4 linked regions of the Macaca mulatta genome follow. The protein of the gene in region 2 interacts with the protein of the main gene of each other region in a biochemical or structural test. Links are inferred from orthologs where the notes say so. Each region holds a gene or a part of one and is shown on either strand. Other genes may lie near its edges. The genes, in order: NR4A1, MAPK8, DUSP10 and ELK1.

Evidence for each region.
Region 1: of the proteins of MAPK8 (region 2) and NR4A1, one has a biochemical effect on the other in vitro, tested with the Homo sapiens proteins (2 studies listed by BioGRID). The link is inferred for Macaca mulatta from reciprocal best matches to the Homo sapiens genes MAPK8 and NR4A1.
Region 3: the proteins of MAPK8 (region 2) and DUSP10 form a complex in vitro, tested with the Homo sapiens proteins (2 studies listed by BioGRID, with this or other methods). The link is inferred for Macaca mulatta from reciprocal best matches to the Homo sapiens genes MAPK8 and DUSP10.
Region 4: of the proteins of MAPK8 (region 2) and ELK1, one has a biochemical effect on the other in vitro, tested with the Homo sapiens proteins (3 studies listed by BioGRID). The link is inferred for Macaca mulatta from reciprocal best matches to the Homo sapiens genes MAPK8 and ELK1.

The regions. Positions count from the first base shown.
Region 1 is NC_133416.1:59,216,425-59,222,859, forward strand, and holds the start of NR4A1 (nuclear receptor subfamily 4immunitygroup A member 1), read left to right. Parts: upstream 1-2,539; 5' UTR 2,540-2,633; coding exon 2,634-2,727; intron 2,728-6,435. UniProt on the Homo sapiens protein: Orphan nuclear receptor. Binds the NGFI-B response element (NBRE) 5'-AAAGGTCA-3'. Binds 9-cis-retinoic acid outside of its ligand-binding (NR LBD) domain.
Region 2 is NC_133414.1:60,722,761-60,728,347, reverse strand, and holds part of MAPK8 (mitogen-activated protein kinase 8), read left to right. Parts: intron 1-3,189; coding exon of another isoform or gene 3,190-3,194; coding exon 3,195-3,340; 3' UTR 3,341-5,587. UniProt on the Homo sapiens protein: Serine/threonine-protein kinase involved in various processes such as cell proliferation, differentiation, migration, transformation and programmed cell death.
Region 3 is NC_133406.1:79,588,999-79,594,749, reverse strand, and holds part of DUSP10 (dual specificity protein phosphatase 10), read left to right. Parts: intron 1-2,777; coding exon 2,778-3,149; intron 3,150-5,751. UniProt on the Homo sapiens protein: Protein phosphatase involved in the inactivation of MAP kinases. Has a specificity for the MAPK11/MAPK12/MAPK13/MAPK14 subfamily. It preferably dephosphorylates p38.
Region 4 is NC_133426.1:47,661,069-47,667,416, reverse strand, and holds the start of ELK1 (ETS domain-containing protein Elk-1), read left to right. Parts: upstream 1-2,451; coding exon 2,452-2,661; intron 2,662-4,559; coding exon 4,560-5,003; intron 5,004-5,712; coding exon 5,713-6,144; intron 6,145-6,348. UniProt on the Homo sapiens protein: Transcription factor that binds to purine-rich DNA sequences. Forms a ternary complex with SRF and the ETS and SRF motifs of the serum response element (SRE) on the promoter region of immediate early genes such as FOS and IER2.

The sequences.
Region 1 (6,435 bases), on a different chromosome or scaffold from region 2:
GTTTACTGGACACTTGTAATGACTAAGAGGTGACATTGCTCCTATCTGTGCAACCCCCAAGACCCCCAGTATTCCCAATAAACATACCAGCTGAGCAAAGCTAGGGTAAGCACCTTGGATGTACAGCTTTAAGACAAGGTCCCAAGTCCTCCAAGTCCTCCTGTATGGAAATGGTAGATCTGCCACGATGTGCCAGACTCCATGCTTTATGTCTGCTATCAAAGAGACACTCTCATGGCAACCCTGTGAGATAGGTTTCTTATCTTTGTGTTTGAGGTGAGAAAACTGAAGCCCAGAGAGGGCAAGTAACTTCCCTGAAGCCACACAGCTGCTAAGAGATAGAGCCTCTTGTGGGAAATCACATTCCTAGGGCAGAGCAGGGAGGAGAACTAACTCTGAGTGCCTGCTGTGTACGAGGCACCTCCACAGCTGTTCAGTCCTCTGACAACCAGTGTCCATCCCAGACCTCTAGAGACTGCTTCTTCCACCATCTCACGCCACCTCCACATGCCACCCTAAGTGTGCGTGTTCTGGCATTCCACATTTTAGAATATGTTTTATTTGATTATAAATAGGAGAATATATAATAAAGACAAGTTATGCTGAAAGTATTTATGGAAAGGAGAGACCTCTGTGGGCTGGAAGCCTTCATGGAAAAACTGGTAACTGAGCCCTTTTTTTCCCTTCCTGTCTAAATAAATGTATTTCTCCCACACAGGCAAATATTTTAAAATGTATTTCAAAAGTTAGACTTCTGGAAAAAGAAAGGAAAAGAGGGGGTGGGGTAGCTGCTCCTCTAAGAAGCCCATCGGAAAGGAGCTGCTGGGGTAGGAAAGAGGAGGACACAGGGTGAGTGAGGAAAAGCCTGTCCCTTTCCCCCACCCTGACACCTTGCCATTTTTGAAGCCTCAGTTTCTTTATCTGTAAATTGACCTAATACTTGAACCTGGGAGAGAAATGTACAGGTTCTTGGGAGGTGATTTTGAGACAAACCAGAGGTTCTTGGGATCATTATGAAGAATGAGAGAAAGGGAATTCCGAGTTTCACCAAGAGTTTAGGATTGGTCCAGCAAAGGATTTCTGGGGGTGGGCAGCGGGGTGGAGAGAGGAATGCAGCCCCTGGAATGAGGGCTGAGTGGAGGTGTGGGGCCTCTTTTGGAGAATTTTGAGCACAGAAGAGATTCTTTGCTGCGTGGGGCCTGGCCTGGGTGCTGGAGATTGTATAGCATGCTCATAATTTAAGGTGGCTCCAAAAGGGAGCAGTGACTAGTGGCTGGCACAGCAGAGCACATGACTGCATCCTCCCTAATGGGTGTTCCCCAATGACCTTGCCTGTATGGAGGTATAGGAACAGAGATGGTAACCCCAAACCCCACCCACCCAGCCAGCCCCAACACCATTGCTCCAACCTTGAGCTGGCCTTCCTGACCAGCCTTTCCTGAGTGGGCAGCTGATGGGGGAGAAGGATTTGCTCAGGACAGGATGATTCTCCCATTTCCAAAGAAGGCTCCAGTCACATGGGAGAGAGAAACCTTCCAAGTGCCTGCACCCCCAGGAAGATTCTTACCGTGGAAGCCTGGGCCTGGAGACTCCGGTCAGAGGAGGGTGGGCCTTCCAGGGCTTCCTGGCCACGGTGGTGGGTCTCTGAGTGCATTAAACACTCCTGTGGATTGGGGAGAGCAGGGAGAACTAACCCTCAGGGTCTACTGTGTACAAGGCACCTCCACAGCTGTTATCATCCTGACAGCCAGATAGGGTGGATAATCTGATCATATCATCTTTGTTTTAGAGATGATGAAGCTGAGGCTCAGAGAGGTCAAGTGACTGCCCTAGGTCACACAGCGGTATGGGAGCAGCCAGGTCAGTGAATCCATCATCTGGGCTTTGCCGGGGCCTGCACCACCACCTCGGGCAGTGCCCTCTTCAGGAGGAAGTCCTATTTTTCTGTAAGCTGCCTTCTCGTGTGGAAGCTGGGTACTCTACTACCTGGGTTCCTTGCCCTTGGGATGGCATGAATGCCAAGCGATGCAGGCAGGGCGCCCGCAGACTCAAAAGGCCAGGCCCTGCCTTCGCCAGTAGCCGAATCGCTGTGTGACTTTCGGCCGCCACCGAGTCTCTCTGGGCCTCTCTCTTTCCACCTCTTCCTGGGGAAGCCCCGGGTAAGTTTATTTATAACCTAGCCCCAGGTGCGCCGCCTCGGGAGGTGTGAGCGAGGCCTCGGCACCTTCACCTGAGAACCAGCTCCCCGGCTCTGGCCGCTGGTTGTGTAACCGGGTGTGCGGAGTAGGGGGAGCCGCGGGGCGGGGCGCTCGCGGCTATTCCGGGCGCAGCTATTTTTAGCCCCATTGATGAGGCTGCGTCGGCCGCCGCCGCCGGGATTCCGGAGACGTCAATGGGCACGCGTCACGGTCCCCGCCCCGCCCGCCGGGGGAGGCGCGCCGGGGCTGGGACAGCGCGCGGGCGGCCGCGGGCGCGGGGGCGGGGGGCGCGGCGAGGCCGGAACTGCGGGCGGGGGGCTTCCTGGGGGCGGGGGGCGCCGAGCGGCGGCGGCGCGGCTGCAAGAGCGCGAGGCGGCGGCGGCGGCGGAACTGGCGGGGTCCCAGCGCGGCGCCCGCGACCCCCGGCCTCCAGGCATGGGCGCCCCTGCGGCGCAGAGCAGCTCAGGGCCTGCTGGTGCGCGACCCCGGAAAGCAGGAGTGGAGAAGCTAGAGGAGCCCGCGGGGCCAGGTGAGGGGCTGCCGGTGTGGCGGGAGGTGGGCCCCAGAAAGGCTGGGCAATCTCGGGTCTTTAGTGGATGCCTTGGGGCGGGCTCAGGGCCACGCCGGAGTCCCGCTTGGAAACTGGGGAGTCGGGGGAGGGACTGGATTCCCAGCGGAACTTGCTGGCTCAGAGTCAGTCCCCAAGGGCGACGGCCAAGGCTTTCTCTCCCCAGCCCGCCAAGGGTGGGGTTTGGCCCACGAGGGGCGCTGGAGGTGGCCAGGCCGGAGAAATTCCTTCCATTTCCCCGCCGGCTGCGGGAACCGGTTCCAGGAGCGCGGGAGCTTCCAGGAGTCTACCAGGAGACCCAGCCGGGAGGGACGGATGCTGCGCGATGCAACCCCTTCACGGGACTGAGTCAAGAAACCAAAGCTAGGGGTCTCGTGGAATCAGGCGGAGCTGGGGATTAGGACTTGGGGCTTGTGTCTCCCAGGCGTGTTTTTTTGGTGGTTGTTTTGTTTTTTTGCCGCAACATCTTCCCTCCTTGTATTGGGAGGGGTGGGGGCGCGGTATTTCCAGACCTCCTTACCATGGTGGTCTGTGTTGAGGACAGGACACAGTTCCCTGACTTGGCTCATTCCCCTCCACAACCTACCCCCCCCCCTTTTTTTTTTTGAAATGAAGTCTCGCTCTGTTGCCCAGGCTGGAGTGCAGTGGCGTGATCTCGGCTCACTGCAACCTCCATCTCCCGGGTTCAAGTGAGTCTCCTGCCTCAGCCTCCCCAGTAGCTGGGACTACAGGCGCCCGCCACCACGCCTGGCTAATTTTTGTATTTTTAGTAGAGACAGGGTTTCACCATATTGGCTAGACTGGTCTCGAACTGCTGACCTTGTGATCCGCCCGCCTCGGCCTCCCAAAGTGCTGAGATTACAGGCGTGAGCCACCGCGCCTGGCAGGCTCATATCGTTTTTATGCCTTCGTTTTTGATAGATGACCTGGTGGATAGGGGAAACGCTACAGAGGTGGTTTACAGTGAATTGTTAATTTGGATGTGGGGCTAGTATTAGCGGCACATTGGGAAAACGCAGGCTGAGCAGAGGTCGGTTTCACAACAGTTATGCCCAGTGGGTGCTGATGGATTTGGGGGCTGTTGTCAGCCTGGCCTGGAGCCCTAGTGGTGGGGCTACAAGACTTGCTCCTAGACCTACTCCAAGTGAACGTTTAAGATCGGTGACTTGGATGAAGACTTAAAAAGGAAGTCAGCCGACTCCTTGTAGTCATGCAGAGCTGTGAGGAATGACAAGTGCACAGTATAAAATCAAGATTCTAATTGAAGGCAACTGGGCAGAAGGATGGGCTGAGATTAACAATGTGAATGTGACTGACGAGGCCTGTGCTGAGGCCTCTGCTGGACTTAAGAAAGTCAGCTGAGGAGTTCAGGCCCTGTGCCTGGCTCAAAGGCCCAGGAACCCAGGCCCTTAGCTTCTGACATGTTCCCTGGACGGAGGCTGTGGGACTGCTCTGTGCAGTGTGAAGCCTCCATCCACTACACAGGTCCAAGTGGGCGGTAGGGGGAGCAAGAATGCCTGATTCTGGACTCCTTGGTTAGGCTCCCTGGGTTCTAATCTCAGTTTTGCCAATTCCTAGCTGTGTGACCTTCGGCAAGTTGCTTAACATTTCTTTCTGGGCCTTAGTTTCCTCATTGGTAAAATGTTTATAATAATAATCCCTTCTTCATAGCATTGTGAGGCTGAAATGAGAAAATGCATGTAAAGTGCTTAATGTATCTGGCACATGTTGTTTAACAAATATTAGCGGCTGTTGTTATTGCTAATAGTAGTAATATTCCCATTTCTGGGTAGGGATATTGGCCAATGTAGAGCTTGTACTCAGGAGGCCACCAGGGCCTGTCAGGCAGAGGGCCTGTCAGTGGTGTCCTGTTGCAAGGAGCAGTTTAGTTAAGAAAAGACTAAAATACTTGCTAGGAAGGACTAGAATGAGGCTTCCTGTGGGCCAGTGCAGGGGACAGAGCAGGGATCCAGGGACTTTTAGAGTCAGGGATGTGATTCAACATAAGGAAGAACGCTCTGGCTCTTGGATCTGCCCCCAAATGGAAGGGACAGCTCTTGAGCTGGAATGCTGTCCCCACCTAGCTGACCTTCCTCCCAGCACAGCTCCAATGCAGGCATGTGCACCCCCCACCTTTCCACGCACACTTACTGAGCACCTGCCAGTGCTGAGCAGAGTTTAGAGACTGCAGATTCTGCAGTGATTCTGATGGACAGCATCCTTACATTCTGGTTGGGTAGACAGGTAATAAACCAGTGAACAGATGTGAACATTAGACCTCTGATGAATAAAAATCAGGCTAGTGTGGTGGGGTGGGGGTACAAGCTGTTCAGGGAGGTGACATGGGAATGGAAACCTGGTTGATCAGGAAGAGCCAGTTCTGGGCAGAGGGAACGGTGGATGCAGAGGCCCTGAGTGGGGAGAGAAGGCCCATGTGACGGGACCACAGCGAGTGGCTGGGAAATGAGGTTGGTGGGGAGCAGGAACTGGGGACTGAAATCTGGCCTGATGGTCCACCCCATTTTGGGGGTCACTTTCTCCGCCAAGCCCACTCAGCCTTTGGTTTGCCCTCTGCCCAGTGCAGATTGTCCTTGACCTTGGTTCATCCCTTATCAGATCCTGGGGCTCTGGGATCTTGGTGTGCTCATTCTTGGCTCTCCTGTGGTTCGGGGCACGCTGCCTAGCTTCCAGGGGGTCCTCAGTAAATGCTTGTGGTGTGACTATTGAGGGGGGCATTTTGATCTGGAGCAGGCAGGGAAACAGATACCTGCTTGAAGATGCTAAAATCATTTGTGGGCACCACCAGGTGCCAGACTCTGGCCCCTGTTCTGAGAACCAGATGGGGAAGAGCTGGGTGCTCAGGTTGGGCCTGATTATGGTAGGTGGTATTTGGCCCTCCCTACCCTTCCTTCTCAGCAGTGGGCTGGTAGGGAGAAAAGACAAGGCTGGGGGAAATTATAGACCAGTTTCCAGGGGATGGGAGGATGACACTGTCATCCTGGAAAGCAGGTGTAGTCCATGGGCTGGGGCAGATTGGAAGCCTCGTCTTGCTTTCTGTTTAGGGTTAAAGATGCTCCAGATGTTCCAGTCTGCCCTCCCTTCCCTCCTTCTCTCCTGTGGCCTTTTCCTGCTCCCCATCATACCCACAGGATCGGGAGGGAGGGGTGCTGGTAATGTCGTAAGGGGAGAGCCTGGGTACTGTGGGCCAGAGGTCCTCCCCTTGGCCTGTAGACCTTGGGCAGAGGTCAGGAGGACGAGGAAGCCCATTGCCCACCCTCTGGGGTCCTCCTCCTCTTTGTCCCTCCTAGCTCCCATCATCTCCTTCTCTTTTCCCAGACCTCATCGGTCTTAAGGGCAGTCCAATAGCCAGTGAAGGCCTGGTCCTGCCCTCACTCTGGAGCGTAGTCGAGAGGAGAGAGCACTGGAGTGGGTGGAGGAAGAGAAGGAGAGATGTGGGTCAAGGTACTCTAGCTGAACGGGGTTAGGGGAGAGCTGAAGAGGCTGGGGTGTGGGGTGAGGCACATAGTTGGCTTCCACCCTGGAAGGAGAGGCCAGGTGCCCAGGGTGCCTTGGACTAGGAACCAGGGTCTGTGGCTAGCTTTTATGTGTGTGTCCTCATTGAACTTCTCCTAATAATGACATGTAGCAGATATGTGTATCTAGCACTGT
Region 2 (5,587 bases):
ACTGATTTGTTGAACGAAGGCAATAACATTAAAACCATCACTAGAAGGTATTCTTTCTCTAAGAAGAGAACTGGGTTTGTAGGAGTTAAAACTTTTTTTTATCATAAGCTGATCTTATATTTAATGTTAGTACAAGTAAAAGTATAAAGAATAGAGGGGAAAAGTTAAATGGCAGGTAACATGTACATTAAGTACATACCACGTGACAGACACTAGTGGTTTATATACTTTATTTTATTCAGCCCCTAAGACCCTAAGGTATAGGATTAATGCACCACGTTATGGATGAGGAAACTGAAGTTCAGAAATTTGAAATAACGTAAGATTCCAAATCTGTTATGTAGATGAACTAGTACAATAACTTCAGAGTGCGTGGTTTTTTCAGCCTCCCATTTTGTTTCTGGCGGGCAACAGAGACTTCTCTGGCTACAGAGGTTAGGACAGTTGTATGAAGGAGGTGAAATTTGAGCTGAGCCTTGAAGAGTGAGTAGTATTTCAAAAGATAGGTCTTGATTTTGAAGTAAAACTATGCCATTTTAATTCCTCAGAAACTTCTACTTTTGAGGAAAAAAATAGATGTATCTAGCATGTTGTATATGGGTAAGGTTTTTTAAAACTATAGTGACATTGTCTACTATAAACATAATTGTTTAAGCCATTTTTTGTGGATTGCTTTGACATTTTTGCTTATATATTTTAGAGTTGTATATTTTAAATCTTTGATCAAGAATGCAGTCTTCCAGATTATAGTGTAGATCCTGTTCAAAATATGAATGGGTTTTGACAGCTTTTACCTATTTTGGAAATGGACTTTTCTCTACAATTTACTTCTAACAAATTTAAAGCTCTATTTTAAATGCTTCATGTAATTAATTAGCTTTGTATTGCTACATAGTAGTAGTATAACTGAATTGTTCATGATAGAGGCTCAGGTGGGATTTGGAAAGTTCATTATGTGGGACAGTTTTATACTTTAGCATACTATCCAATTGAGTGGCACAGCTGGAGTGCCAGATGTTTGAGTAAATGTAATAATCTCATGAGTTAGAGCAGTTGTATTTGTTCTTAATTTGTAAGTGAATAATTTGAATCTTAGTCCAACACTTGCTTATGATCACAAAATAAGTCAGTGGAAAAGATAGAAATTGAGGTTTCTAGACATCTTCTGGATTCTCAGTTATAGCTTGCAAAGATGAGTATTAGCAAATTAAGCTGTTATGAAAATATTCCGCTCTTGATTATGTACTGTAACAAAAGGAGTAGTGCTTGGTAAATCAAAATATCAGATAACCATAGTACCATTTCCACTTGATTTTTAAAATGAATTTTATTCTTTTCCCCCTTTGAGTGCCTTCTTATATTTATTTTGGTTTGGCTAATAGTAAAGTAAGTTTGCCTGCCTTGAGTGTGTAGAGACTCACTTGAGAGAGGAATGACCCACCTGAGACTAATGATTTTCTATATTATTACCATTCAGATATTTGAGAATTTACTGTATTGCTTTAAAGAAAAAACAAGTGTGTGGTTTTTTTTCCTTAGGTACTTGATTTTTAGATTAAAAAGTTAATGCATTTAAAAGTTAATTTTTATCAGATTAAAACATTTGGATAAAATAATAGACCCTGAACTAGAGGCATATATAAAAATTATATATGTTGGATCCCTTTTATGGTTTGAATGTTTCAGTACAAGTCTTAGAAACTAGCCATTGTGTACTATGTATGTTACACAGATGTATCATACTGTTCAGTCAGAAAAGGCTCATTCCAAGTATTGACTGAACTAAAAAGAATATACTATCTCAGTTTCACTCTGACTGAGAAGCTAATGGACCTTTCTTGGGTCTAGGAGATTATCACCTATTTTACCTCTCATCTCTCAGGCCTGAAATACTCATCCTGCTTTTCTCTTCTGTTTCAACTCCCATCACCTGCTTTGTCTCTTGTGGTTCCATTCCTTTCTGTCTCCCAGTCCCCTCCCTAAAGATTTTCCTATTCCCACTACACTGCCTGTTTTCTTTTTGCATTTGAAGAAAAGCTCGCAGAGGACCTTTCATATTGAAGTGTTTTATTGCTTATCTGGACAGAATGGAGAGATGATCTCAAATACAGATGCTGGGTTCAGGAGCAGTGGTTTTCAGCCATATTTGGTTTCAGCATCGTTGGGTGCCTGAACCTCACCCTCAGAAATTCTGCTCAGTGTTCCATTTGAAGACCATTGATTTTATTTCATAAATGTATTCTTGAGAACTTTTAAGTAACTTGCGTTATTCAAATTTGGAATGACCCTTATTTAGTGTTCATGTGGTTTAAAAGTACTTAGCCTAGTGCATGAGTTACCTTTTTTCTCTATACCCCAGTGTAAGTCATTCCTGTCCCCTTCCTAAACCAATCCCCTTGAGAGGATTTCTGTCTCGAGCTCAGGTATTCGTGTTACTTTTTAAAATTCAGGAAGTCCTTATTAGGTAATACTTTCGGCAAAAGAAACTGTTTGCTCCTACTTTATCTATTTAATAAATCCATATTTCTACTTATCAAGTATTAGCGTAGAAATAAGAAGACCCAAGTTTACTTAACTAGGCCATTTGAGTGACACTGTCATGTCCCATAACCTTGTATAAACTGGGGCAGTTGAATTAAGGTTTCTTCCTGTTAAAATTATTTTATTCCTTGGCGCTTGCTTTAAAACAAGATGTGCCAGAAGTACATCTTGTTTCAAATTTGAATCATTTGAATTTTTCCTTTTTAGTGCAAAGCTATAAAGACTTTTTTGTAGGGAAGTAGCTTTTAACTTTTGTAGTTATACAGTCCTTTAAGATCTTCTGTCCAAAAAAAGGCATTACAGACAGTTTTGCATGTATTATCAGCAGTATTCACACGTACCCTGAAGCCCATTTGTGGATCTTGCTGCAGGACCATTTCTAAATGTGGCTCAGATGTAAATTCTTGTCTTAAACTGGAAAACACATTCATTGAAAGGATAGGACTCCACGATTCTAGACATTTTCAGAATTCTCACCTCATAGCTGTCAATGAAGAGTGTTTTTTAGTGTATTGGATATCATTTGCGATTATTTTTAGTGAGCCTTCTAAACCCAAGAGAAAAAATTACCACTAGAGGCAGGCAGTGCAGTGCAAGTAGCTCGATCTGCAGCTGTCTGCAACTGATTTGCTGTTTTGTTTCTCATAGCACAGGTGCAGCAGTGATCAATGGCTCTCAGCATCCATCGTCATCGTCGTCTGTCAATGATGTGTCTTCAATGTCAACAGATCCGACTTTGGCCTCGGATACAGACAGCAGTCTAGAAGCATCAGCTGGGCCTCTGGGCTGCTGTAGATGACTACTTGGGCCGTGGGGGGGTGGGAGGGACGGGGAGTCGGTTAGTCATTGATAGAACTACTTTGAAAACAATTCAGTGGTCTTATTTTTGAGTGATTTTTCAAAAAATGTAGAATTCATTTTGTAGTAAAGTAGTTTATTTTTTTTAATTTCAAGTGATGTAATTTAAAACCTAAGTTGTGTTTCAAAACAGCAACAAAACTGTATTGTATTTTTTGCTGTAATTAACTGTATAATGTAAACCTAATTATTTTATCATGTTTTAAATTTTTTGCATATTTGCTTTATCTTATGCTGCTGATTTTTTTAACTGAATTTGTAAGATTTTGTTTATCAAAGCAACTATTATGTGGTGACTTGCCTATATCATGAATTATTTAAGATTTTTATAGTTTTTTTTATTAGAATTTATTTCAGATGTTTTGTTCATGATACTATCCTTCAGGGTTATGTGCTTATCAATGAAATAACCCCAGAGGAGTGAGGGAAAATAACTTGTAGCCAGTTATATTCAGGAATAACTACTGTAAATGATGAACGTGTTAGGAGACCTCCAATATTTGCTACTTGCCAATCCTAATTTAGTTACAAGAATTGGTAGGCAATCCTACTTAATTTTGGCAAAAGCCCCGTCATCTAAGTGGCAGAATAACTCAGAGCATGTCTTTGAAGATGCTGGGCATCTACCACCACCTTATGTCCCCACCCTACCCAACAGAAATAAGTAAAAAGAACATGGTGTATTCTGCAAATTTGTGGCATGCTCAAAGTTTATGATCACATAAAGTCAAGAGGATACTTCATGAATAATACATTTCAATGCAAATAAACAGATGGTTCACTTCTACTAGCTATGAGCCTGTTTTTGTATACACTGAGTTAATCTACTCAGGCTGTAGGTCCCAGCAATGTTCTAGAGTCTAGTCTTTCCCTTTCCTGCAGCTTCGGGCCCTTGGACCTTTCCGGTTTCCTATTACTTGGAGTGTCTATCAGTTGAACACCAGTTGTTCTGGTGTTTCTGGCCATTTGATTCTACTTGTAGCATAATCATATTTATACTAGCTATTGGGAGGTTCCAAAGCCTACCTAGATTTGTGTAGGTGATGTATCAAATGAGCAATATACCGTTCATCTGAAAATAGTAGCACACAGCCATATATAGGATGTCATTTTCTAAGGACTGTTTCTTCACATTGAGCAGAGCAGGCATAAATGGTGGTTATTTAGTCTGAGTCTTTTATTTTTTTATACCTGATTTTCAACATAACATGCAATGTGGATGTCGAGTAGTGTAAGAATGGTGCTGCTCCTGACAAGTGTATGTTAACTGTTTACATTTTCTATCTGCAGAATTATTTCTCTATAACTGAACTTTTCCCAAGTAAAATGTCTTTGAAGTCTCGTTATTTCTGAAATACGGTGTCTGTAATAGACCCAGGCACCTTTTAAATGATCTCTGGAACAAGAGGGATTTCATGTAATGAACTAGGAAATGCATACTCACATAAGCAGCAAGGTTCTAGGCAGAAAGCCCCTTGGAATTCGTGACCAATGGGAAGAACAGGTGTGGCTTAACATGCAGTGTCTGAAAATTTGCTTGGCATTTTATTCATATATTTAGTGCAAAATTCCTTTTGAATGAGATATTTTACATCATTGTTAATGTGCAATATTTAAGATTAAAATACGTTAGCCTTTTTATATACTTTGAAATAGCAGGTTTGTTTTTGATGGCTTAGAGTCATGATTTCCAGCTTCCCAGCCTTTTTATCAGTCCCTTTTCTAATACAACAAGGTGCATTAATTTGATTAGACAAATTAGAGTTTTAAGACTATAACACCTCTTGAATTGTAGACAGGAAATACTGGATTCACAGTTTTAGCAGAAATTTGAGAATGAGTGTGTTTATATTAATTTGACAATTAGCTGTATTTTCTGTAACGTAGATTATGTCACTGTTGCACTTTCACAGCAGACATGCTTTCAGAAGGTTCTCTTATTTTATGCTTGATTGCTGATAAGCCATCTTTATTGATACAGATTTTGGTTAAGTAAGGAAAACCAGGTGTCTGACTGTATCATTTGTTGTAAACGCCAGCTGCCACTTGCCAACCATAACATTGAGTTCAATTCAAAGAAAACAAACTCGAATTACTTAGTGTAAACTAAAATATTTAACAAATTATATCCTAAAAACAAGGTCTCTTTGTTAAATGTTGTGTGCCCTAGGTTTTAAATTACTACATC
Region 3 (5,751 bases), on a different chromosome or scaffold from region 2:
ATCATTGGCTCCCCAGAACACAGTTGCACCAAAGGCCTTAAACAAAGTAGTTCTTCTTGTATTGTTTGCACTCAAAGAGCTGATATCATGCCAACTGATGTCATTGTATGTCTTTGTGTAACTGCTATGGCAACTGGGCAGGTGGGGAGCCTCCAGCTGATGTCATTGAGAAAGGAGGTGTAGAGGCAGAATTTTAAAAAGCTGGACGCTGCTTTTTTCTGTGTGTGGGGTTTTCTAGCATTTTTTTTTAAACTAGCTGCTTTTAAGACAAATTACAGCTTGAGTACCCTAAATAAGAACAGAGAGGTTTTTCCCCTGCTTTTAGAGACTTCTTTTGAATTTGTTTTGTTGTTCTTTCCTCTCATCTTATATGGAAAAATGTAACAACTGCCGCCTTTGAAGAAAAAAGTGAATTAGGTTCCCATCACAGAATCTGTGTGGAATTTGGGTTTCTGTGGAGGCAAAGCTGAGCAGATTTTAACTCTTCAGAATCCCTTTTGTGGAGGCTGTGATGATGACAATGGGTAGTTTTTATCTTATTTATTTTTTAAGTCTTCACTGGTGAAGTTATTTTCAATATTTTCTTTCTTTCTACTTCAGAATTCTCTCTTCAGGTTCAAAGTTTATTATCATAACTGCCTAGCAGAATGAACTGTCATACGTAAGGGCAGAGGTTAATTCTAGAAATCAGCTGAAATTTGTATACAGCTCTTGTTTTTCTTTTCAAAAAGCTGAGGTAGGTTTTGACTTTTTACTTTCGATGAGTAAAGTGAACATTGTATTGCCCTTTGAGTTTTCTTTGGATCATAACCATACCTTAAGGAGAATATGATTTCTCTCTTTTACGCAGCCAGCTCCGGCTCCATTGGTTATGAAAAGTCATGAGACTCGGTCTAGGTTATGGTCTGGAGTTTCCCACTGTGGTTTGTCAAAGATGAGACTTGAAATGGAGAAGAACATATGCTAGGCTCAGAGGCTAGTGGACAGATAGACTTCCTGTCCTTATTGCAACATAACCGTCTCTTGTTCATGCTTTGGGTTTTCTGCCTTATCTCCTGGAACTATCAAGACAGCCACAAGCCATCTGTCTTTGAGGGTAGTAGATGTTGTGTTCTGGTGGCTTTCAGCTAATAGGAGTTTTCTACTTCCCCCTCTTTTCAAAGGGAAAGCCAGAGTGTATCTAGTTCTGTTTGATTTGAATTAGAGTTCAGTTGGCACTAATAATGTCAATCCAGATTTTATAGCACTTACATGTATATTATATAATTTGAGCTTTGTAATAATCCTTTGGGTTTATCTGTGCATGTCATTGTGTGTAAAAATATTAGCAGAAAATTTAAACAATAAACTGTGATCCATAAATTCCCTAACTTAAACAATTGTTCATTTTTTGTACAGTCCTTCAGCTTTTGTTGAATGTTTTTTACTTAGCTTTTTAAAAATTTAATATTAAACCAAAATATTTTATTTATTTTCACGTCGTTTTTGCAACTACTCTTTTAAAGGCCACATAATACTCCATGGAATGAATGTAATAACTTTTTTTTCTTTTAATTTGTTTTTGTGTTTTACTTGGCCTTTTAAAAATATATATAAAACAGATAATATTGTAGTGACCATCTCCATGTATCTAGCTAACTGTCTTTGGTTAGATGATTTCCCTAAGATCCATTCCCAAAATGAGATTGCACTTGTTCAGGGGAAGATTTGCATTTTAAAAATGGAGAAACAAGCACAGTTTATAAGCTTTTTATGCTAGATGCATAACTCTTAGGAGGCAGAGCAGAGCCGTAAGCTCAAAAGTATGCATTCACACTTCCACAAGAGGTTTCTTGATGGGTTTATGTGCCCATAAGCCTTGGAAAGTCGAGGAGTAAGCAACTGCGCTGCTCTCACATTCTGTTCTACTGAAAGTCAGGGTTGACAAATGTCAGGGACCTACATGGAGAATATGAAAAAAGATTATAAGAGCAATCCATCCCACCCCACCCTGGCTTGTCTTTTCCAAGTACTTCTCTGCTGATTTCACCTGTGGGCAATCATATAAATAATATAAATTAAAATAGTGACTACTTGCTGAGCTCTACTGTGTGCCAGGAGATGTGTTAAGTATTTTACACATACTCATTTATCTGAGGCTCACAGTTGCACTCAAAGGGAGACGCCATCACCCTCAGCTTACAGATGGTGGAACTGAAGCACAGAGGTAAATGAACTTAAGTCATAGTGTCAGGAAATGATGGTACCCAGAGTATAATCAAGGTAACCTGTCTCTTCCACGTTCTTGCTTGTAACCACTCTGCTGTATTGGGAGCACACTTGGCCCTCTGGGTGAGGTGAGCTATGAAGGGTGCAAGACGTGCTCCTGTGGTGCTGAGATTACACCCGAGGAGGTCATCTGTGCCTTTCTTGGCTCCCAAAGCACAGGGTTCTATGTAGGCCACTGAGCATATGGCTCTTTGAGGCAGGTCACATTTGCAGCTGAGGAAATTGCCTGACGCTGCGTGGAACTCTTTCTAGGGGAACATGCCCTCATTTGTAGAAAGAGCACATTTCCAAAGTGCTCCATGCAGTGATACTCCCCGAAGCTTGTCTTGGGTCTCTAAATGGACTTTTATTTTTTGTTTTATTTTTATTTTTATTTTGTTTAAATACATATTTATGTGTGTATTTAAAATATGCTTGAGCTACAATGCAAACTCATTCTAATGGGGAGGTAGCATTTTCTGCCAGCTCTGAAATCTCAGTCACTCTCACTTTCTGTGTTTGTGTTCCAGGTGGACTTAGTAGTTTTAAGCAGAACCATGAAAACCTCTGTGACAACTCCCTCCAGCTCCAAGAGTGCCGGGAGGTGGGGGGCGGCGCATCCGCGGCCTCGAGCTTGCTACCTCAGCCTATCCCCACCACCCCTGACATCGAGAACGCTGAGCTCACCCCCATCTTGCCCTTCCTGTTCCTTGGCAATGAGCAGGATGCTCAGGACCTGGACACCATGCAGCGGCTGAACATCGGCTACGTCATCAACGTCACCACTCATCTTCCCCTCTACCACTATGAGAAAGGCCTGTTCAACTACAAGCGGCTGCCGGCCACTGACAGCAACAAGCAGAACCTGCGGCAGTACTTTGAAGAGGCTTTTGAGTTCATTGGTAACTGTCTCCCATAGGGAATTTTCATCCTCTGCCTTCCTTTTCCCTCCGGCTCTTGCTTTGATATCAAGTTCAAGGTTTATTCCTATGTTGCAAAAAAAAAAAAAAAAAAAGCTGCCCTGGAGTTTCGAAGGGCTCTGCTAACTGAAACAGCCTAAGCATTCTCCTAAGTCATAGCCTGTCAAGTGTATCCAAGCCATCAAGATGGATATAAAAGGGCAGTAATTGAATTTGTTGGGATCCGTTCAACTAGAAATCCTCATCCCTCAAGTTCTCAGTGAAATAGTGGTAGGAGTTAGCATTTATGTGCTCTATAACCAGAAAAATGGATGGAAAGTAAGGAATTGGAGGTCAGAGCTGGTGCTACTGCTACTGGATCTACTAGCGCCCTTCAGCACCTTGGAAGCAACATCTAGTGAATATGACACCCCTTCCAAACACACCCATGCCTTCCGGTCACCCTACTAATCCTTATTCATCGAGCATAAGAGGAGATGGTACTAGCTTTCCTTTGACAGTGTGCCCCAAACTCATTGAACTAGGAAAGGTCAGGTTGTGTAGACAGAGTAGTTCCCAAGGAGGAAGTTTTAGCAACAGCAGGCTTTAATCCCCAGAAGGAAGCAACTATCAGCCTAATCCTAATCCTAATTTCTGCAACTTCTATAGCCCCAAACTGCTATAAGACTCAAAATATCATTTTAGGAACACCTGCAATATAGCAAAACTCAACATTTGTTTTTGTTTTGTTTTGTTTTGTTTTTAAGTAACTTCAACTTTTATCACCATAAAGGGGTGGTCTAGTACTTTTCCTAAATATTACAGCAGGTTGTTATTCCAGGAAGAATACAGTTAAGTGGAGTGGGGTGTTCCTTCGCCAGAGAAAAAAAACAGCCTTAGGTTTAACAGCCACTGGGGTCTGGTGGATTTGCTGTAGTGTTGACATCTGCGGCCATGTTGCCAAGCTGTTTTCCTTGCTAATTATGCCGTCAGCACAGGACCATGGAATATTGAGTCTGAAAGGAAATTCAGGGTGATCACTGAACTTAGAGAAGGAAAGTGACTTCTCTGAGGTCATAAGAATTCTAGTGTCCAAGAAGGGGCCAGAATCCAGGGTTTTTGACCCAAGCCTGAGGCCTTTTCACAACATACTAAGGTGATGTTTCTGATGCCCTATTAAGTAATTCCCAACTGGCAACACTGAGGATGCAGAGATACTGCAGATTCTTTATTAATAAAATCTGAGCCAAACCTGGAACTCTGAGGAAGAAAAATTTCTCAACAAGCAGATGAGGGACTTCTGGTTGATACATGGTGTTATGACTGAGATTCCATCTGACTTAATTCCAGTTGGAGGAAGTTAGGAAATTGTTTTCTATTTAATGACTAGGGTAAGATATACTTGTTCTAAGAGGATTTCAACCAAAGCTCTCACATTCCTTATAGATTACTCAGGCTTACCTGCCTTTTTTTTTTTTTTAAAGGAAAACGAGACCAATAACAAATAGCATTCAGCCCGAAGAACAACTCCAAATCACAACCTGCATAGGCGCAATTTTATTTTCATCGTTATGTTATTGGATAAACTGAAATCTTACAGTCTTGCGTTAGGAAAAACACAGCAGGTTTTATAAACATAATAGCTTTCACTGAGAGTCTAATATAAATTAAGCAGCATCTAAGTTTAGTGTTTATGCCAGTTTGTTTATTCCTGAATCAAGTGTGTGTAGTGGAACCAGTGGTCCAGCCAGGCACTTGGAAGCTCATTCTCTCATCACCATGCTTTCTGGTCTTGATTTGGAGCTCAATACTGTGCACTGAAGGGAAAAGGTTGGAAAAAGAGAGATGCTTACTTTTCTTGAAATACTGTTGACTATGAGAAGTAAACCTCATCTGTAAACTTTTAAGATGAAAATTTATATCAGGTTTTTTTTTTCCTTGGTCCACTGGTGGCTAGCCAGTAGATGTAGTTTAGGTGAAATCGCTATTCTCTCTACTCCTTCTCCTTCCCTACCTGTTTATCTAATTGGTGTTCCTTCAAGGAAGCTTGCTTAGAGATGCGTTAGAGTCTAGAAATGTCGTTAAGAATCTGTTCAGGCAGTGCCCACACGCTATTGTCCTGAGCTTTTAATATATCCGAAAACTTAGCAAGTCTTCCTCTTTCAATTGCTCTGGATTTTGAACCATTGCTGGGATTCCTCCATCTTCTGCATTATTGCCACATTGGAATGTCATACGTGGATGCAAATGGGGTTGAACGCTTGAGAGGTGACACCCTGGGCCTGTATGCTACTGGCCTTTAGTTAACTTTGCAACAACTGGATTTTCTGGGGAGAAGCTGAACATAGCATGTTTCTAGTTTAGCTTTATTCCTTTAACCTTAATCAGGGTTTAGTAAGACTAAAACTCTTATCCATTTAATTCCCGTTCCTGTACAGAGCAATTCTATAGAATAAAGAAAGTGTTTTTTCTCTATTACAAGTGAGAGAGTTGTTGTTACTAGCTTTAGGTTTGTTAAGTCACACAACCAAAAATTGGAATTAACATCCTTAATCCAAAGAGGAACTGTTATATATATATATATATATAACATATATATATACAC
Region 4 (6,348 bases), on a different chromosome or scaffold from region 2:
TCAATAAAGACCAGAAAGGGCCTTGTTTCATTTCAAATCAGGTTTTGCTGCCAAAAGAGGTATAAGAAGCTTTCTGCTTTTAGAGCATTTTGGATTTTGGAATAGCAGATAAGGGACTATGAACAAATCAGAAACTAATATTTAGAGCTTATCATATACCTCAGGCATATAATATTTAATCTATACAATATCTTCATGAACTAGGTATTGTTATCCCCATTTTAGCAATGGGCATATCATTATCCCTGTTTTACACATGAGAAAATTGAGGTACAAAGAGGTTAAAGAATATCAGCCAAGCGTGGTGCCTCATGCCTATAATCCTAGTACTTTAGGAGGCCAGGGAGAGAGGATTGCTTGAGCCTGGGAGTTCAAGAACAGCCTGGGCAACGTAGTGAGACCCCATTTCTAAAAAGAAAAGAAAAAGAATATGCACAGGGTCACACAGCTAATAAGTGGCAGAACCAGGATTCAAACACTGGCAGTCTGGCCCTAGTGCCTGGGCAGTTGTCCAGCAGGTCATATTGCCTCTGCTTAGAACAGTGCCTGATGTGTATTAAGCTCTCAGTAGATGTTAATTATTGCTGTCATCGAGAAAGAGAACATTCAGAGCCGAGCATGGTGTCTCACACCTGTAATCCCAGCACTTTGGAAGGTCAAGGTGGGAGGCGGGTGGATCACTTGAGGTCAGGAGTTCAAGACCAGCCTGGCCAACATGGTGAAACCATGTCTCTACTAAAAATACAATAATTAGCCGGTCGTGGTGGTGGGTACCTGTAATCCCAGCTATGCGGGAAGCTGAGGCACGAGAATCACTTGAACCTGGGAGGCAGAGGTTGCAGTGAGTCAAGATTGTGCCACTACGCTGCTCTCCAGCCTGGGCGACAGAGAGAGACTCCATCTCAAAAAAAAAAAAAACAAAGAGAACATTCAGGGATAGTAACAGGACAGAGAGATCAGGCGTTCAGTTTTAGGACGGCTTCATAAAGGAAAGGACCTTCAAGGTGGAACTTGAAAGATGAGAAAGACTGCTAGGCAGAAGAAGGAAGCCCCACGTGGAGTGAGCAGCCTTTGCAAGGCTCTGGCAAAAAAAACCTGAAAAACTTAACATTTATATGGTAGAATTTATATGGTATGTAGAAGATACAGATAACACTCAAATAAGGGGGATGGAACTAATTTTCTATTCTTGCTGTAATAAATTATCACAAATTTAGCTGCTTAAAATAACATATTTGTGGCTGGGTGCAATGGCTCACGCCTGTAATCCCAGCACTTTGGGAGGCCAAGGCAGGTGGATCACAAGATCGGGAGTTCGAGACCATCCTGCCTAACACAGTGAAACCCCGTCTCTATTAAAAATACAAAAAAAACTAGCCAGGCGTGGTGACGGGCACCTGTAGTCCCAGCTACTCGGGAGGCTGAGGCAGGAGAATGGCGTGAACCCGGGAGGTGGAGCTTGCAGTGAGCCAAAATGGCGCCACTGCACTCCAGCCTGGGTGACAGAGCGAGACTCCGTCTCAAAAAAAAAAATTTTTTTTTTAAATAATGAGTTATATTTATAGCTGTTATACCTGTTGACCTGAGGAGAATTTTGAGAGTCCACAGAAAAAAAAAAAAATTGTTATAGGTCAGAAGTCCCATACTGGTCTCAGTGGGCTGAAATCAAGGTATTGGCAGGGTTGTGTTCCTTCTGGAGGCTCTAGGGGAAAATCCATTTCCTGCTCATTCAAGTTGTTGGCAGAATCCAATTCCTTGAGGTCGTAGGACTGAATTCCCTGTTTCTTTACTGTCTATCAGCTGATGGCCATTCCCAGCTTTAAGAGGCTACCCACAGTCCTTGGCTCTGAGCCCCCTTCCTCCATCTTCAAAGCCAACAATGGCAGGTTGAGTCCCTCTCACATTTTGAATCTCCCCTGCCTCTTCTGTCATCACATCTCTGAGCTACCTTTCTTTCTTCATCATCTGCTTTTCAGAGCTCATATGATTAGATTGAATTTAATCAAATAATCCAGAAATAATCTCCCTGTCTTAAGGTTTGTAACCTTAATTTCATCTGCAAAGTTCTTTTCTGCTACGTAGTATAAATAACATACAGGTTCCAAGGATTAGGATGTGGAACAGGGGTGGCATCATCTGGCCTACCACAGTCTGCCCTCTGACCGCCACAGATTCACATTTGTCCCACAGGCAAAATACATTCACACCATCCTAAGATACTCATGAGTTGTATCCCATCACAGGGAGCATCCCAAGCTGGATTGGGGAGCTAGAAGTTAGTCTGGGAATGTTTAGGGAATGATGGTAGGGTTTGAGGACAGAGATGGAGAAAAGATGACAAAAAAAGGAATCCTCCTCCCCCTGACCTCTGCCCCTCCTATGTCCACAGCCTCTCAACTCAGCTGTTTGCCCTCCAGGTACCCCTGGGATGGCGTGAGCACTCCCCCAGCGATGGACCCATCTGTGACGCTGTGGCAGTTTCTGCTGCAGCTGCTGAGAGAGCAAGGCAATGGCCACATCATCTCCTGGACTTCACGGGATGGTGGTGAATTCAAGCTGGTGGATGCAGAGGAGGTGGCCCGGCTGTGGGGGCTACGCAAGAACAAGACCAACATGAATTACGACAAGCTCAGCCGGGCCTTGCGGTACTACTATGACAAGGTACAGTCTCTCAGACCAGGGCTGGGACCCCCCCTAACATTTATGTCAGAGATTTTATTTTGTTTTGATTGCCATAGCTATGACTTTGAAAACAATGTTAAAATTTATCAGTTTTTAACCCATCCATTGGTACTGTCAGGCCAGTATTGGGCCCCTAAGCACTATCTCACCTACTTTCTTGTCTTACTGCTTTGGCAAAAACCATCATTGCATTATTAATACTGACTCCTACTCCCACTCTGAGATCCCCACAGTGATGCTGCCCTGCCATGCGCATTTCATTTTCGTGTCATATTCCTATAGCCAACATTTTGAAAACATGGTTAATAATGGCTGGTCCTCATTCTGTCCTCTGGAAGCCCTAGACCAGTGCTGGGCTTCCCTAGTTATTTCATAATCTTCTCTTATTCCAGAATATTTCATATTCCTAGAATCAAAACCTCCCTGACAGTATTATACCAACTTTTGCTTACTTTGTCCTCTGGGACCCCAACATTTTTAACCAATTATTTTCTTATTCCTTAAGCTAAAACCTCTGTAACAACATGTTTAGTACCAGCTTCCACACCCTATCTTCTTAAATTCCCAGAGCAGCACTGGTCTACCCCAATATTTATATCAATTGTTTTCATTATCTTATTCCTACAGCTAAAATTTAAAATTTCCCCCATTCTGCCCTCTCAGACCCCCAGGCCACTGCTGGGTTTCCCCTCCCCCCAATATTTATACAAGTTATTTCATCTTCTTATTCCTCCTGCTGAAACTTCCAAACAATATTCATGAATATCCCTTTTCGTTCCTCTTTTGAGAAACACGGGCCCACCCTGTGACATATCTGACCAGCACTAAGACTTCCGCAGAATGCCCTAGTGCTCCCACACTCCTCTTGCCCGTGCCCCCAAGAACAGCCCTGGACCTATGCTGCATACCCTTCATAGTTTATGGCATTTATTCCACTTTCATATTTTATTCCTTGAGCTCAACCCTCCAGAACAATATTAGTAATGAGGCTCCCTCACTGTGCCCTCTGGGAACGCTAGGTCATCTCTGAGACCCACCAGACCTGAAAAACCCCAAACATGCTCTGTGACCCACCCAAGCCAGCCTTGATATAGGCCCTCTCCCAATATTTATACCAGTATTTTTAATATTCTTGTCTAATTGCTGTTAGTTACTTCATTTTCTTACCGCTTTAGCTTCAACCTCCACAGTGGTATTAATAATGAGGCCTCCTCGCCCTCTCCTCTGCAGTGACCTTGCCCTATTCCACTTCTGTGTCATTAGCTTCAAATAATCCTCTGTATTAATAATTCATCGCCCCATCCATCTATATTAATTTACTTTCTTCCAACATTTATATCAGTTACTTCATTTTCTTGTCTTACTGCATTTGCTAGTCTCCAAAACTGTGTCCTGACAGTCACCCACAAGGCCTGGCCTGTGAACCCCTGGTTCTTGGAGCCAAGAAGACTTGCTCCCACACCTACTACCTTCCCTTCACGGGCCCCATTGTGAAGAGGAGCCACAGTGTGGAGGGGGTGGGAAAATCAGATAGATAGACCTGGAGAGTGACAGAGGGAGGCTTGGAAAGGGGTGGATGGGAAGGGGCTTAAAGAAAGAATTGTTGTGGAGAGAAGAGAGAAAGGGGAGGAACTAGGGAGGGGTATAGATAAGGGGAATCTAGGGGGAGAGGAAAGAGGTAGAAACCAACGGGAGAGGAAATGGGCTGATAGGCTGAGAGGGGAACTTACAGAGGAGGGACAGGAAAGCCAGAGAGGGGCAAGTGGGAAGAGAGCCACTAGGAGAAGAGAAACACCACTCCACCCCAACATACACACACCCTGCCTCCAGCCTGCCCCTTTCCTCTCAGGCCCTCTGTTCCTCTCCTCCCTTTCTAGAACATCATCCGCAAGGTGAGCGGCCAGAAGTTCGTCTACAAGTTTGTGTCCTATCCTGAGGTCGCAGGGTGCTCCACTGAGGACTGCCCGCCCCAGCCAGAGGTGTCTGTTACCTCCGCCATGCCAAATGTGGCCCCTGCTGCTGTACATGCCACCCCAGGGGACACTGCCTCTGGAAAGCCAGGCACACCCAAGGGTGCAGGAATGGCAGGCCCGGGTGGTTTGGCACGCAGCAGCCGGAACGAGTACATGCGTTCGGGCCTCTATTCCACCTTCACCATCCAGTCTCTGCAGCCACAGCCACCCCCTCATCCTCGGCCTGCTGTGGTGCTCCCCAATGCAGCTCCTGCAGGAGCAGCAGCGCCCCCCTCGGGGAGCAGGAGCACCAGTCCAAGCCCCTTGGAGGCCTGCCTGGAGGCTGAGGAAGCCGGCTTGCCTCTGCAGGTAAGGACTGGAATATAGAAATCCAGTAAGAGGAGGCAGTAAAGAGGACGGATGTGTAATCCCCGGATGATGAGGGAGGCTGGTAGAAGAGACATAGTGCTCCTGTTAAAGGAGATAATGGTGGAAGGAAGAACACAGACATCCTCTTAGAAGGAGGGATGGGACAGAGAGCTACACAAACCCTGAGACAGAAAGGGGAGAATACTGTGCTACAGTTAGTAGCTGCCGAACATGTAGGTGCCTGAAATATATTTGTTTAATGCACTAGTTCTCACACTCTAGCGCTCATCAGAATCACCTGTAGGGCTTGTTAAACCACAGATTGCCAGGCACACCCCCAGAGTTTCTGAATATGTGGGGCTGGGGAGGGGCCCAATAATTTGTATTTTTAACTTGTTACCAAATGAGGCAGATGTTGCTGGTTCAGAGGAAGGTAAATTTTTGAGAACCACTGTTTTAATGAATGAGGATGATATCCCTCAGATTCCCACCTGCTTCAGGTTGTCTTACCCCAAGTCCCCTGTCCCATAGGAGGACTTGCCCCAGAGGAAGCCCTACTTCCTTGATGAAGTCCTATGTCCTGTTGGAGAACCTGCTCTGATGTCCCCAGTACCAAGTGCCACTTTCCCGGGGAAATCACTGGGTAGCCCACAGGAGAATCCTGTGGCCCCAACAATCCTTACCCTCTTTGTACCTGCTCCTCTCCCAGGTCATCCTGACTCCGCCCGAGGCCCCAAACCTGAAATCGGAAGAGCTGAATGTGGAGCCAGGTTTGGGCCGGGCTTTGCCCCCAGAAGTGAAAGTGGAAGGGCCCAAGGAAGAGTTGGAAGTTGCCAGGGAGAGAGGGTTTGTGCCGGAAACTACCAAGGCCGAGCCAGAAGTCCCTCCACAGGAGGGCGTGCCAGCCCGGCTGCCCGCGGTTGTTATGGACACCGCAGGGCAGGCGGGCGGCCACGTGGCTTCCAGCCCTGAGATCTCCCAGCCACAAAAGGGCCGGAAGCCCCGGGACCTAGAGCTTCCACTCAGCCCAAGCCTGCTAGGTGGGCCAGGACCCGAACGGACCCCAGGATCGGGAACTGGCTCCGGCCTCCAGGCGCCTGGGCCGGCGCTAACTCCATCCCTACTTCCTACACATACATTGGTGAGTGCCTGGGGAGGTGTGGGATGGGTGGGTGCCAACCCCAATGGGACTGGCATGTGGCAGGTGACTAACGGGAATCAGAGGAGGGCGAATGTGGTTGTCCCTGAAGAGGGTGGAGCCTTCGAGTGTGATTGACTGGGCTGACGCTGGACTGGAGGGATGGGGTTTGATTAGTGAAGGGCAGGGCTGCGGACTTTTGTGGGT